3 linked regions of the Schizosaccharomyces pombe genome follow. Changing the gene in region 1 together with any one later gene gives a genetic interaction. Each region holds a gene or a part of one and is shown on either strand. Other genes may lie near its edges.

Region 1 (3,835 bases):
TTCCAAAGATTCTGGAGACAAAGAAGTAAGACCTGGTACAGTAATGCGACGGTCTGCATCTTCCCGTAAATTTAATGGCTTTGCTTGATTTGGGGTCGGTGATACTAATAAATCACGAATAGTTTCATTATAAATTTCCAAATAGGAAAGGCGAAGGTCAAAAATTTTTTCATCTCTTAAATGATCCATTCTCTCAAAAAGTTCTTTTAGTGTCAAATATATTAAACCAGGATCTTGCATTGTTCCACTAATGGTGTGAGTTTTACCACATCCAGTTGCTCCATATGCAAAGATAGTAGCATTGAATCCATCCAAAATATTGTCTAATAACGGCCTGGCAGTTCTCTCATACACCTGTTGCTGAGTAGCAGTTTCATCAAAAACCCTATCAAAAGCATAACGAAGATCACGGCCAAATCCCGCAGAATTGTTTGACTTTCTAGATAATCTAGCGAGACTCTGTTGAGAAGTAGAAAGTCTGCGGTTTGTGGCACTCAAAGTAGCCGTTGTTTCATCCGGGGGATCAAATACCAAGACACGTCCATCAAGTACCTTTACTACTCGTCGAATTTGACGTCCTGAACCAGGGTTCCTTAAGGAAGAAGATGTTCCAAATGATAAACGATCTGAGGATGCAATTAAATTTGCAGATTCAGCTGTACTAAATGGGCGAACACGGACTATTTTATGTTAGCAAAAAGATATGAATTTAAAAAACATCACATTAAAGACTAACCTGTAACGGTAATGGACGACTGTCTTGACATTGAAAAGCAAAATTTCCATGCAAGCAATCATCCAAAACAGATGAAAAGAAGGGCACTCGCAAACAACAATTCCAATAACCTTCTTGAATAAAAGCAATTTATATCGAAGATCACTATTAAAATAGATGTAACAGTAGAAAAGAGCGAGAAACGCGTTTTTTGAGTGCGCTTCAATGTTGACTGTTTGGCATTTGCCAAGTTACATTTCTTAGTCAAGTAACGCACTTTGTTTTGAATGGTTGTTATGGCAATAAAAGATGTAAACAATTACATTATTTACATATTTTGACAATAAACACAAATACAGGTAGTTACGATTAAAATCGAGTTGAAATACTGTTTTACCTTTTCATTTTCACTAGTTGTGTATAATGCTATCTCAGTATCATAGATGCTTTTACAGTATTTTTATTATTATAAAAGGCAACTAAATTCGATGATTGAACTGAATCGCTATCGTTTGGTTTGTAACTTATAATGTACACATGCCTGGCAAGATTCTTGCTTTGCTTTACTTTTATCACACTTTAATAAATCGTCCGACAAATTTAAATCATTTTCACCTATAATTGCAATAGAACATCAAATAAGTGTATATATTCTTCTAGCACTTCTATAAACACCACAACTGCTGCACTAGCTACTTTATTGCCAATTAACTGATGGCCTAAATATCTGATTAGTTTGAAAGCAGAGGACTAGTGAGCGCTATAAACAAAATTATATTCTATATTTTATATTGGGTATTCCTATATTCGTTAGGTACTAAATACTGAGTTTTACTTCACCTTTTAGTCGATATCGTTGAGACTTTTACCAATAGCAACTATAATGAATTAGGGGTTTTTCGTGCTATAACATTACCGCTCAATTTCTTTCAAACCACCAAGCGTCAAATTAGAACTACCTACTAAGCATTCGAATATGCAATAAAATTTCACCTTTGCCATAACCATAAATTTTACTATTGTTGGATAAGTCTTATTATTGCTAAGTAATTGATTACCTTAAGTTCATTTATCAAATAACAAAGCTCTACGTTTCAAATTTCAAAAAAAAAAACTTAACCTACTCATTGAGTTGTTTCAAATAAAAAAAAAGCAATTGGATTCTCTTCTGTTGGAAAGCACCCTTCATACAGCAATATTGGTATTTAAGGCATTGAATTTAAATATATTACTATGGCATTTCGTGATTCAACTCGCGATTTCAACAGAAGTAGACCTGAAAAAAGGCATGCTTCGAGATCTTCTTCACCTCGTTCATTTCGACCTTCAAATCAAAATGCAAGAGCAAATTATAATTTAGTAAGTAGGAAAATGTTAGTTGTTTTTGAATTAACCTTCCCTTTAGCCGAGAGTGAGAGATGCTATGAAAGAGGAAGAGCGAAGTAGGGAAACGAAAGAAATGCAAGAACGGGAATTTTTGCGTTTACAGCAGCTTCGAAGAGCTATTATTCGACTTAAGAATGATCGTTCTAAGCCTATAGATAAACTTCTTGTCAGCGTTTACTTGATGCCAGGCCCAGAATGGGAAGAGAATGGAGAAAAAAATTCAATTGATTTTGGAACAGTTGACATGTTTGATCCACTCTCTGTTATTCAAGTAAGGGACTTATTTTATTTTTACTTTATAACAGATTAATCATTAACATACTTAGAGTTATAAAGCAGAAGATTTGGAGGAGATATCTAGAAATATTGGTGATATTCAGCAGCTGGAAACGAACCAATGTAGACTAACTTATTGGAAGGTATGGATTATTTTTTATGCTTTAAGTGCTAAATTATACATTATAGTACGTTAAAATGCTAGTGAATTCTCGAATGGAACATAACAAAGTTGGGCAATTTTCAAGAGGGTTAAAGGTCGTAGCAGGTGAAGTACAAAGGATTTTAGCCCCTAAATCTTTTGAACAATTAGAACAGCTTGAGGCACAAATTCAAAAAAAATTGAAGAGCAATGTCCCTCTCGATACAGATTATTGGGTTGATTTACTAAACTCTTTAAAATCTTACAAGGCCATTGCTTATTTAAAAAAGACTTTTAATGAAGAATTACAAATTCGAAAAAATAAACTTGATAATGAAGAATGGGACAAAGCTTTTTCCGATGCCAAAAAACTGTCAAATATGAAGGATCGTGAAGAGAAGTTATATATTGTCCCTATAGACCCGAAGCCCATTTTGAGGGCTCAAGCGATACCACGCAGGATACAACCTGAAGAACAAGCCGATTATGAAAAAGAATTGGTAAGATATTTGTGTTTTTCATAATATTAACTCTCTTCCAAATTACGATTTCCATCTTTTGTCCTAACCAAAATCTTTTCTAGAATGATCATGTCAATATTGTAAAGTCTAGCACTTATATTCCAATATCGATACCTACCCAAAAACAAAAGCCAACTTTGCCGAAAAACAGTAATCTGATTAACGAGGATGAATTTTCAATTGCCAACAGGGCACGACTCGAAAGAGAATACTTACAATCCGATGATGCAGAGGAGCAAGAGATGCTTGGGGACTATGTAGAAGGGCAAACCCGTGTTGTTAACGAAAACGGGGTTACTTTGAAAAAGCCTCACTACTTTAATAGAGTTTTGCTTGGGTTTGAATGGAATTCTTATAATCAAGCACATTTCAATGAAGCCCACCCACCTCCCAAAGCAGTTCAAGGGTACCGTTTTAACGTTTTTTATCCAGATTTAATAGGTACAGGCCGTGCACCAACGTATCGAATAGAACGAACACGAAGGAAGAATAAAAGCGACACTACTGATTTACAAGACGATGTTTGCATTATACGTTTTATAGCTGGGGAACCATATCAGGATATTGCCTTCAGTATAGTAGATAAAGATTGGGATTACAGTGCAAAACGAGATCATGGGTTTAAAAGCAGTTTTGACAATGGTGTTTTATCCCTCCATTTTCGATTCAAAAAGCTTCATCATAGAAGGTAAAATAACTGATTTATCATGTTGTACATTTAATGAAATTTAAATTACTGTTACATGTGCAGCTAAACAACCTTAAAAGGCATCTACTAAACTACTTAAGTATTGC
Region 2 (3,835 bases), on another chromosome or scaffold:
TAAATTATGTGCTAAGATAAATTATTTGACTAACAATTTAACAGCATCTCAACAGACCCTTACGCCTGTATATCTACAATCATTATCGCGACTCCACTCGTCAAGTTACCATTGTCCCAAATCGTCATTGGGGAGGTAATGGAGCTATTGGATGTGGTGTTGGACATGGCGTCTTGCATCGCTTACCCGCTCCTTTGTCAGGACCTCCTCCACAACCTGGGGACATTGTGTTTTCAAATCCCATGCTGGGGGGTCCAGATCATAAAGTGTCTCAGCCCAGTGAAACTGAAAACTTTTTGCCTACTCCAGAACCACCTAAAATCGCTTCTGCTAATGCTGGATCTAGCAATGAAATATCTATCCCGCACTATCAAAGACATAAGAAGTCTCATAAAGGCGCTATCCAAGATTCTTCTATTCAATCATATTTAGATGAAGAAGAAAAACTAAGCAGAGAATTGGATCATAAAACCAAAGACGCTTCTTCTACTAACGATTCCCAAACAACTCCTTTGCCTCCTCCTCCTCCTGTCGCTGTTAATTCAACAAACGATGAATCAGCGCCTCAAAATGAAGAACTTGTGAAAAATTAGTTATTTAGTTAAGCTCGTCTTTTCTAGCAAAAGCCCTCTTTTTAATGCCCATAATGATTAAAAGTTACAAAACTATATTTTTGATAAATAAACATTTGAGGTTTTGAGTAAGGATTTTATAAAACACAAACAAACCTCTTTATCCGAATTGATTACTCAAAAAATGTAATAAATAATTTGAATTAATGAACCTTGCCAAACTGTTGCTTCTTTTTTATTATCGTTAATCCTGAGTTCCATCCTTGTAAACGCGAAAACGCCTGTAGATTCCCTTACTTTCTTCATCTTGGGATATCGGTTTTAACATTTTTTCAATAAATTCATCCCGAGCAGCGTCCTCAGAGGTGCGAAGAGCCTTCGAGTCTAGTTTTTCTTTCATTCTTGCTCTTTTTTTTTGTCGTTTCCGACCATTTTTCAAATTATCAACGTCGGTACTAATAATCCCTAAATCTACTTCACGTATAGCACCAAGAGCAGCTGCATCTCTAATAAATGAATGTTCATTTGGATGTAAGGAATTTTTTATGTTTTGTACCGTCGATTCATTTTTTGTATTAAGTGCATTAGTCTCTCCATTTTCTGAGTAGTTTTGGGCCAACCTTTCCTGTTTCAGTTTTTTTTCAACAAAGTTTAATAAATGCGTGTTGATGTCAACCTCGTTTGTTTGTTTAGCAAACCTATCTTCGACGGTTGGAAGTTGCGCCTCTATAAGTTTCGACGATTGAGCTGAGGTCTGATCATTAGCTTCATGAGGCTCATTAGCAGTGTTCAATTGTTTCTCTTTTTTTGTTTCTTGATTTAATAACTTTTCAGCATTTATCCCGATAATCGAATTTCTAATTTTTCGCCTCTTAGTAGCTTCCAAAGCTTGCCGTAGACGAATATCATTATCATCTAATTCTTCTAAATCAAATTCTTTTTCATTTCCAAAAACTTTTCTTCTTCTGAACGATCGATTGCTTTTCTTTTTTATATGTATACTATTCATGCGGATACTTTTTGTGGTTGGTATTTCAAGTAAACCCTCCTGGAAATATATACCATTCATATAGCCTGTACATGTACCAAAAATTTGTCGCATATTACGATGCAAGTAAGAACTTTGCTTACATTGGGAAAAAAAAAAGTAATTGGAAATAGGCAGTGCATTCTTAGTCTTTATCGAAAATATTCTAATGTTCAAAGTCGCAAAGCGGAAGACCAATTGTTGCGTCAAATTTTTGATGATCAGAATATAGCTGTGAACCAGATAACGAAAAGAAATGGAATTCAGGGAGTAGGATTGTTTCGTAATCACTTCCTTTCCGACAAAGATACCGGCTTCCTAAGGCTCGCGGAAACTGCATCTGAAAAATGTAAGGCCGTGATTGAGGATCTTTTGCTCGAGGATACTGAAGACGGGTCAATTGTAGTCAGCAAATTTGACAGGATTTCTAACTTACTATGCAGTGTCATTGACCTTTTTGAGTTTGTGCGCTGCGCCCATCCTGACAAGATGGTGGTAATGAAAGCAGAAGAAGCTTACAGTTATCTATTTGAGCTGATGAACACTTTAAACACTCATCAAGGTCTTTACGAAAAATTAAAGTGTTCTTTACAACAGACTCCTACGTTGAAAGATACAGATCCTGAAGCATATACTGTTGGAAGAGTATTCCTCCAAGATTTTGAAAAATCGGGCGTAAATTTAGAGAGCTCGAAAAGAAACTCCTTTGTTAAAAAGTCCTCTGAATCTGCAACTCTTGGAAGAGCATTTTTTAATAATAGCATGAATCGTCCTCAGCGTTATTTAACTATTTCTAAGCAACGTCTGGCTGGTTCGGACCCATATTTTGTACGCTCACTCTCTAAGAATGACAAAAACTTTATTATGATTCCAACTGTTGGATACGAAGGTACACAGGCCTTGATTAGTGTAGCAAATCCCGACGTCAGGAAAGAAATTTACATGGAAGGTCATAAAGGAACAGTTGAAGAAGTCGAATTGCTAAATTCCTATTTGAGGTCTAAAGCGGAAGTTGCGAAACTAGTGGGAAAAAGTAGTTTTGCAGATTTACAACTTATAGATAAAATGGCTAATGCTCCTAAACATGTTGTTGAATTTTTAGAGAACTTATCATTAAAAAATTCTTCCGTGTTAAAAAAGATTTTAAACAATCTCGCGTTAATGAAGAAAAAAGAGTTAAACTTGAATTTTCTTCCATCATTTGATGTTTGGGACAGGGAATATTATACTGCTCGCTATAAACAATCTCTTATAAATCAAAAGCCTTCTTTAAACCCTTCTATAACGAATTATCGGCGTTTTTTTTCTGTTGGTACAGTTATTCAAGGTCTATCTAGACTATTTAGTTCTTTATATGGGCTTCGTTTTGTTCCAGCGGACATTTCCCCTGGTGAGGTATGGCATCCTGATGTAAATAAGGTCAATGTTTACAATGAAAATGATCATGTAATGGGTGTAATTTATTTCGATCTATTTGCTCGAACAGGAAAAACAGATGGAGCTGCTCATTTTACAATTCGTTCTTCTCGGGAATTAGACTTGACAAGCTTTGACGATTCTATAAGTCTTGGATTTGATGATGCTACTAATATAAGGGTCAAGGATAACAAACGGTATCAAATACCTGTCATTTCGTTATTGTGTAATTTCGTACGTTCTAGTGGAATGGATCCTACCTTTTTAGATTTGTGGGATGTGAAAACACTTTTTCACGAGATGGGGCATGCCATGCATTCCATTCTAGGTCATACTAAATATCAGAACTTAGCCGGAACTCGTTGTGCAACCGACTTTGTTGAACTTCCTTCAATTATTATGGAGTTTTTTATGTCAAATCCAGCCGTATTACCGCTTTATGCTCGCTACGAAGGAACTGAGATTCCATTACCTGTACAAGTTTTGAACCATCATAACATGGTTGAAAATAGTTCAGCACCCTTAGATTTACAATCTCAAATTTGTATGGCTATGGTGGATCAATTGTTTCACTCGAAGGTTGTCTTAGATCCGTCATTTAATTCTATCGATGAAGTTACTAATGTAACCAGAAAGTTCAGTGGGTTTGAGTCTGCTCCACCTGCTGCTTGGTATCTTCAGTTTAGTCATCTTTATGGATATAGCGCTACTTATTATTCATACATTTTTGATACGGTATTGGCTTCGCTAATCTTTAGTAAACTTTTTGCTGGAAATCCATTAAGCCGTGAGGCTGGTGAGAAATTTCGTAAAGCCATCC
Region 3 (3,600 bases), on another chromosome or scaffold:
GATTTCGAATATAAAAATTTGTGAAGCGATGAGCATATGCAGCATATAGCTCGGCCAGTCTCTACAGACCTTTTAATTTCCTTCTGTCCAGCACTGGCCAAACACTTTATATAAGTACTCCAAACAGACGAACTTTGTTCATAACTAAGACCTCGTATATGCTGTTTACGAGCAGGCGTAGTGGTTTTAACAGTATGATCTGGTTTGGCTAATAAAAGTAAAGTCTTGACCGGTTCAATTGTCCGACTACAATTAGCACGAACCCAAACAGGATTGAGCTTTGGAAGTTCTTTTGCTTCTACCGATTCACGGCAAACCAAGCGGTCATCTTTCCAAACTCCATTAGACAGCGTGTTAAAGAGAGCCAAAAGTATGTTAGAAGACTCAAAAATAGTAACCTCGTTTTTCAAGGCACACTTTTCAAGTATGTTGACAATAACTGAATCCCACAGTAAAGAGAGCATGGCATCAGAGATTCCGGGCCTCAAACATGCATATATTAAAGCAATCAAAGTAGTCATTGCTGCATTCTTTACTGTTGGCAAATTCCTTGAACCTAGAACCATGGAAATAGGCTGACACAAAAGAGTTAACCGCTTGGTAGCTTGTGTGAGGGTTTCAGAAAGAGAAAACTCATGAATTAAACGGATCCAAGATGTTTGGGCTGCACACTTAGTTAAAGGATTCATGCTGTTAAAACAAAGCTGAATAATTTTAAGCCATGTGTTAAAGTATTCCCATGAGGAAATTCTTGCACCTCCCAAAACTGATATGATGGCAGCCCAGGCATGAGCCACATAGACACCGTCGTCTTCTTCAATGACAAGCTTCTCAAATTGCTCTGTCATGATAAGAACAAATGCAGTTCCCTTAATATCACTTCTAAAATTAGCGAGGATAGTCCGTGCGACTAACTTGTCGTGATACAAATGTTTGCTCAGGTCCAAAGCAAGTAATAACGCTTTCTCACGGATAGGCCTTGAGGCATCAACTAAACAAGCTAGCAGATAAGGAGCCCAATCAACTACACGACGCGAAAATTCTAGTGGAAATTGGCTTAAAATTTTTGTTAAGACAGCTAATCGCTCCTGACCTATAACAAGGGAAGGGAATGAAATGTTAAAACACACGTCTAAAATACGATTACATAAAGGGTGAATGGAAAGAGGGCATTTTTGACAAGAAAGAAGATGCAAATGCTGAGCCGCGAGTGCTTTAGTTAACTTTGGTCCTTCTAAAAAATTCAGCGACTGCTCAATGAAGACTGTGGCAGTTTCTGGTTGAATGTGAGAAGAAATAGTTGGATGCCAAAGAAGTATGCTGAGAAGTTTGTTTGCTTGAGTATTCAATTGAAAATCGGGACTACCCTCTGAATTGTTAGAGCATCTATCCGATAATAAAAAATTGCAAAGTTGATTTAAAAGGGGGAATATTGGATCCTCGGGAAGACTTGGTGTATAGATTTTCAAAAAGGAAGACAGTTTTGAGTATGTTTCGATTCGAGCAGATTTTTCAACATGTTGAAGATTTTCTATTCCGGAACAAAACGAGGATTGTAGTTCTTGCAAGGAAGTCTCTTTTTCAGATTCATTTCCTTCAAAGGATTGAAAATTTGGTTGTTTGATACTAGATAGAGGTGTTGAAGTTTTTAAGATACCTCGTTTGGGTAAACCGAAAGATGGTCGATTTCCACCGGGGGAATTTTCTAGTTCACTACTAAAATTTACCTTCTTCTTACGAATCGAACTACTAGGTGAGCTGCTCAGTCCTACAGCTTGTGATGATGGGGTTGAAGGTTCTTGTAGAAGCATATTTGAAGCCTCCTTCACAGCAATTTCTTTTGTCATCGCAACATCAGCTGTTATGCTTTTAAAAATGTTTTAGCTTCATGGGACCGATCGCACCAAAAAATTGCACAAATAAGTTTATTTACAAAATGGTGGTAGTAGGCTAAATGTGAGTTGAGTTATAGATGTAAACACTGTTCAGCACGGTACCAAGCTATTGAGATCTTTAACAACACTGAAAAAAGCTAATTTATTCTTTCAATTATGAAATTTTTTTTACTTATTTCTGTACACCAATTTAGACTTAGCAGCAGCAAATTGAAGTAGTATAAAGAATAAAATTGAAAAGCAGATTGGTTGTATTGTTGATCTTTTATAAATAAATGTCCGGTAATTGCTTCAATCTTTAGTATGTTTGATATCCGCACATTTAAAATGCGTGGTTAAAATTCTTGTAGTAATAAGTGCAGTAACTAAATAACTCAGTACATTCTTAAGCCAATTCATTCCACCCTTTATTAACTTATCACCAAAATTTTATAAAACAGTTCTAAGCAAAAGAAAATTCTTGCCTAATTTTTCAAGTTTTGTCGTCTGGGGTAGAAGGTTACAGCAATTCCTTTGAAGTAAGTCAATTTTGTTAATGGGAGATACAGCAACCTGCTATTATTTGATTCTTCTCTTATAAATTTTTGGATGAACCATTACTAAATACATGAGTAGTAACTTCTAAAGATTTGGAATACTGAAAAGTTGTTATCCAAAATCTAGATTGAAAGTGCTTTTGACAGTAACTAAACTAGAAGAACCAAGTCCTTGGAGTTGATGATAATATTTCAATTATTTTGTTTTGAGGAAATGATGAATGCAGTGTTCTGCTGACCTTGCTTTCAAGAAAAAAAGTAGACGATTAAATATCAACAGACTTCAGTCAGCACTGTTACTTATTAAAAAAAGTTGATTTTTATATAAAAGTTAGCTGCGTTAAACAGTGCAATGTCAAATTGCTTAAAACATCCTTGGCTTGAGAATGGACTATTGAATTTGATCAAAAACGCAGATGTCCTTCCGATACGTGTATTTAAATGTCAGCCTTTACAAATATTTGAGGTATTATACTTTATCTTCTATCTTTCGAACCAATTCTGACTATATTTAAACTTCAGTATATACGATACGAACATCCAATTCGATGCAAGCTATCCGATACAGAGTTTTACATTGAAGCAGAGTTTTCGTCTCAGAGCATTTCGGACTTAAATAAGTATGTTTCAATTTATCAGCACAATATTGATTGTGATTTTTAGTTTTACTGAAAAAAGGATAACATCTTTAAGAGGAGGTATCGTGACATTGGGCAATTTTTTAATTCACTTAATTCCTAGTCAATCAGGCATTATTCCTTGGATACAAGTAGAGTCATTTAATTTTCAGGGTTGTGAGGGTGCTGTTTTTGGAAACCCTAAAGCTATTACAACTTCTGCATTGTTTAATGCATTGCTTCAATCACCTTATCTTGCTGCGCTTGCCAATGAATTTAACCGATCAATTAAAGAAGGTATTATTTGTAATTTTACACGATCTATAATTGACCCTTTTTCTAGGATCGTCTTACCAGGAAGCCTCCCTTAGTCAACAGGTATTTTGTAAATTTTAGCCAAGTTTACTAATGTCAAGGAAAAACCTAATGACAATACTAGTAATTCTAGAGATATCAAAAATAACATCCAATTTCATTGGAAAAATATGACTTCCTTAAGTATAGAAGAATGCATCATTCCAAAAGGACAGCAACTGATCTTAGAAAAGGAGT

Evidence for each region.
Region 2: mutations in cay1 (region 1) and tls1 impair growth when combined (synthetic growth defect), as found in Schizosaccharomyces pombe (one study listed by BioGRID).
Region 3: of cay1 (region 1) and rif1, changing one enhances a phenotype caused by changing the other (phenotypic enhancement), as found in Schizosaccharomyces pombe (one study listed by BioGRID).

The regions. Positions count from the first base shown.
Region 1 is NC_003423.3:1,711,155-1,714,989, forward strand, and holds cay1 (cactin), read left to right. Parts: upstream 1-1,712; 5' UTR 1,713-1,948; coding exon 1,949-2,074; exon of another isoform or gene 2,075-2,120; coding exon 2,121-2,372; exon of another isoform or gene 2,373-2,427; coding exon 2,428-2,520; exon of another isoform or gene 2,521-2,566; coding exon 2,567-3,019; exon of another isoform or gene 3,020-3,102; coding exon 3,103-3,732; 3' UTR 3,733-3,784; downstream 3,785-3,835. Other genes in the region: kinesin-8 family plus-end directed microtubule motor Klp5, read right to left, coding at 1-680, 737-767. UniProt on the Schizosaccharomyces pombe protein: Plays a role in pre-mRNA splicing by facilitating excision of introns featuring long spacing between the branchpoint and 3'-splice site (ss).
Region 2 is NC_003424.3:637,157-640,991, reverse strand, and holds the start of tls1 (splicing factor Tls1), read right to left. Parts: upstream 1,601-3,835; 5' UTR 1,582-1,600; coding exon 817-1,581; 3' UTR 594-816; coding exon of another isoform or gene 45-593; 3' UTR 1-44. Other genes in the region: grh1 (GRASP family protein), read left to right, coding at 45-593; peptidase Oct1, read left to right, coding at 1,681-3,835.
Region 3 is NC_003424.3:2,764,617-2,768,216, reverse strand, and holds the start of rif1 (telomere length regulator Rif1), read right to left. Parts: upstream 1,945-3,600; 5' UTR 1,848-1,944; coding exon 1-1,847. Other genes in the region: tpz1 (telomere-protecting protein), read left to right, coding at 2,784-2,897, 2,954-3,051, 3,095-3,345, 3,392-3,426, 3,465-3,600. UniProt on the Schizosaccharomyces pombe protein: Negatively regulates telomere length. Appears to play no role in transcriptional silencing of telomeric loci.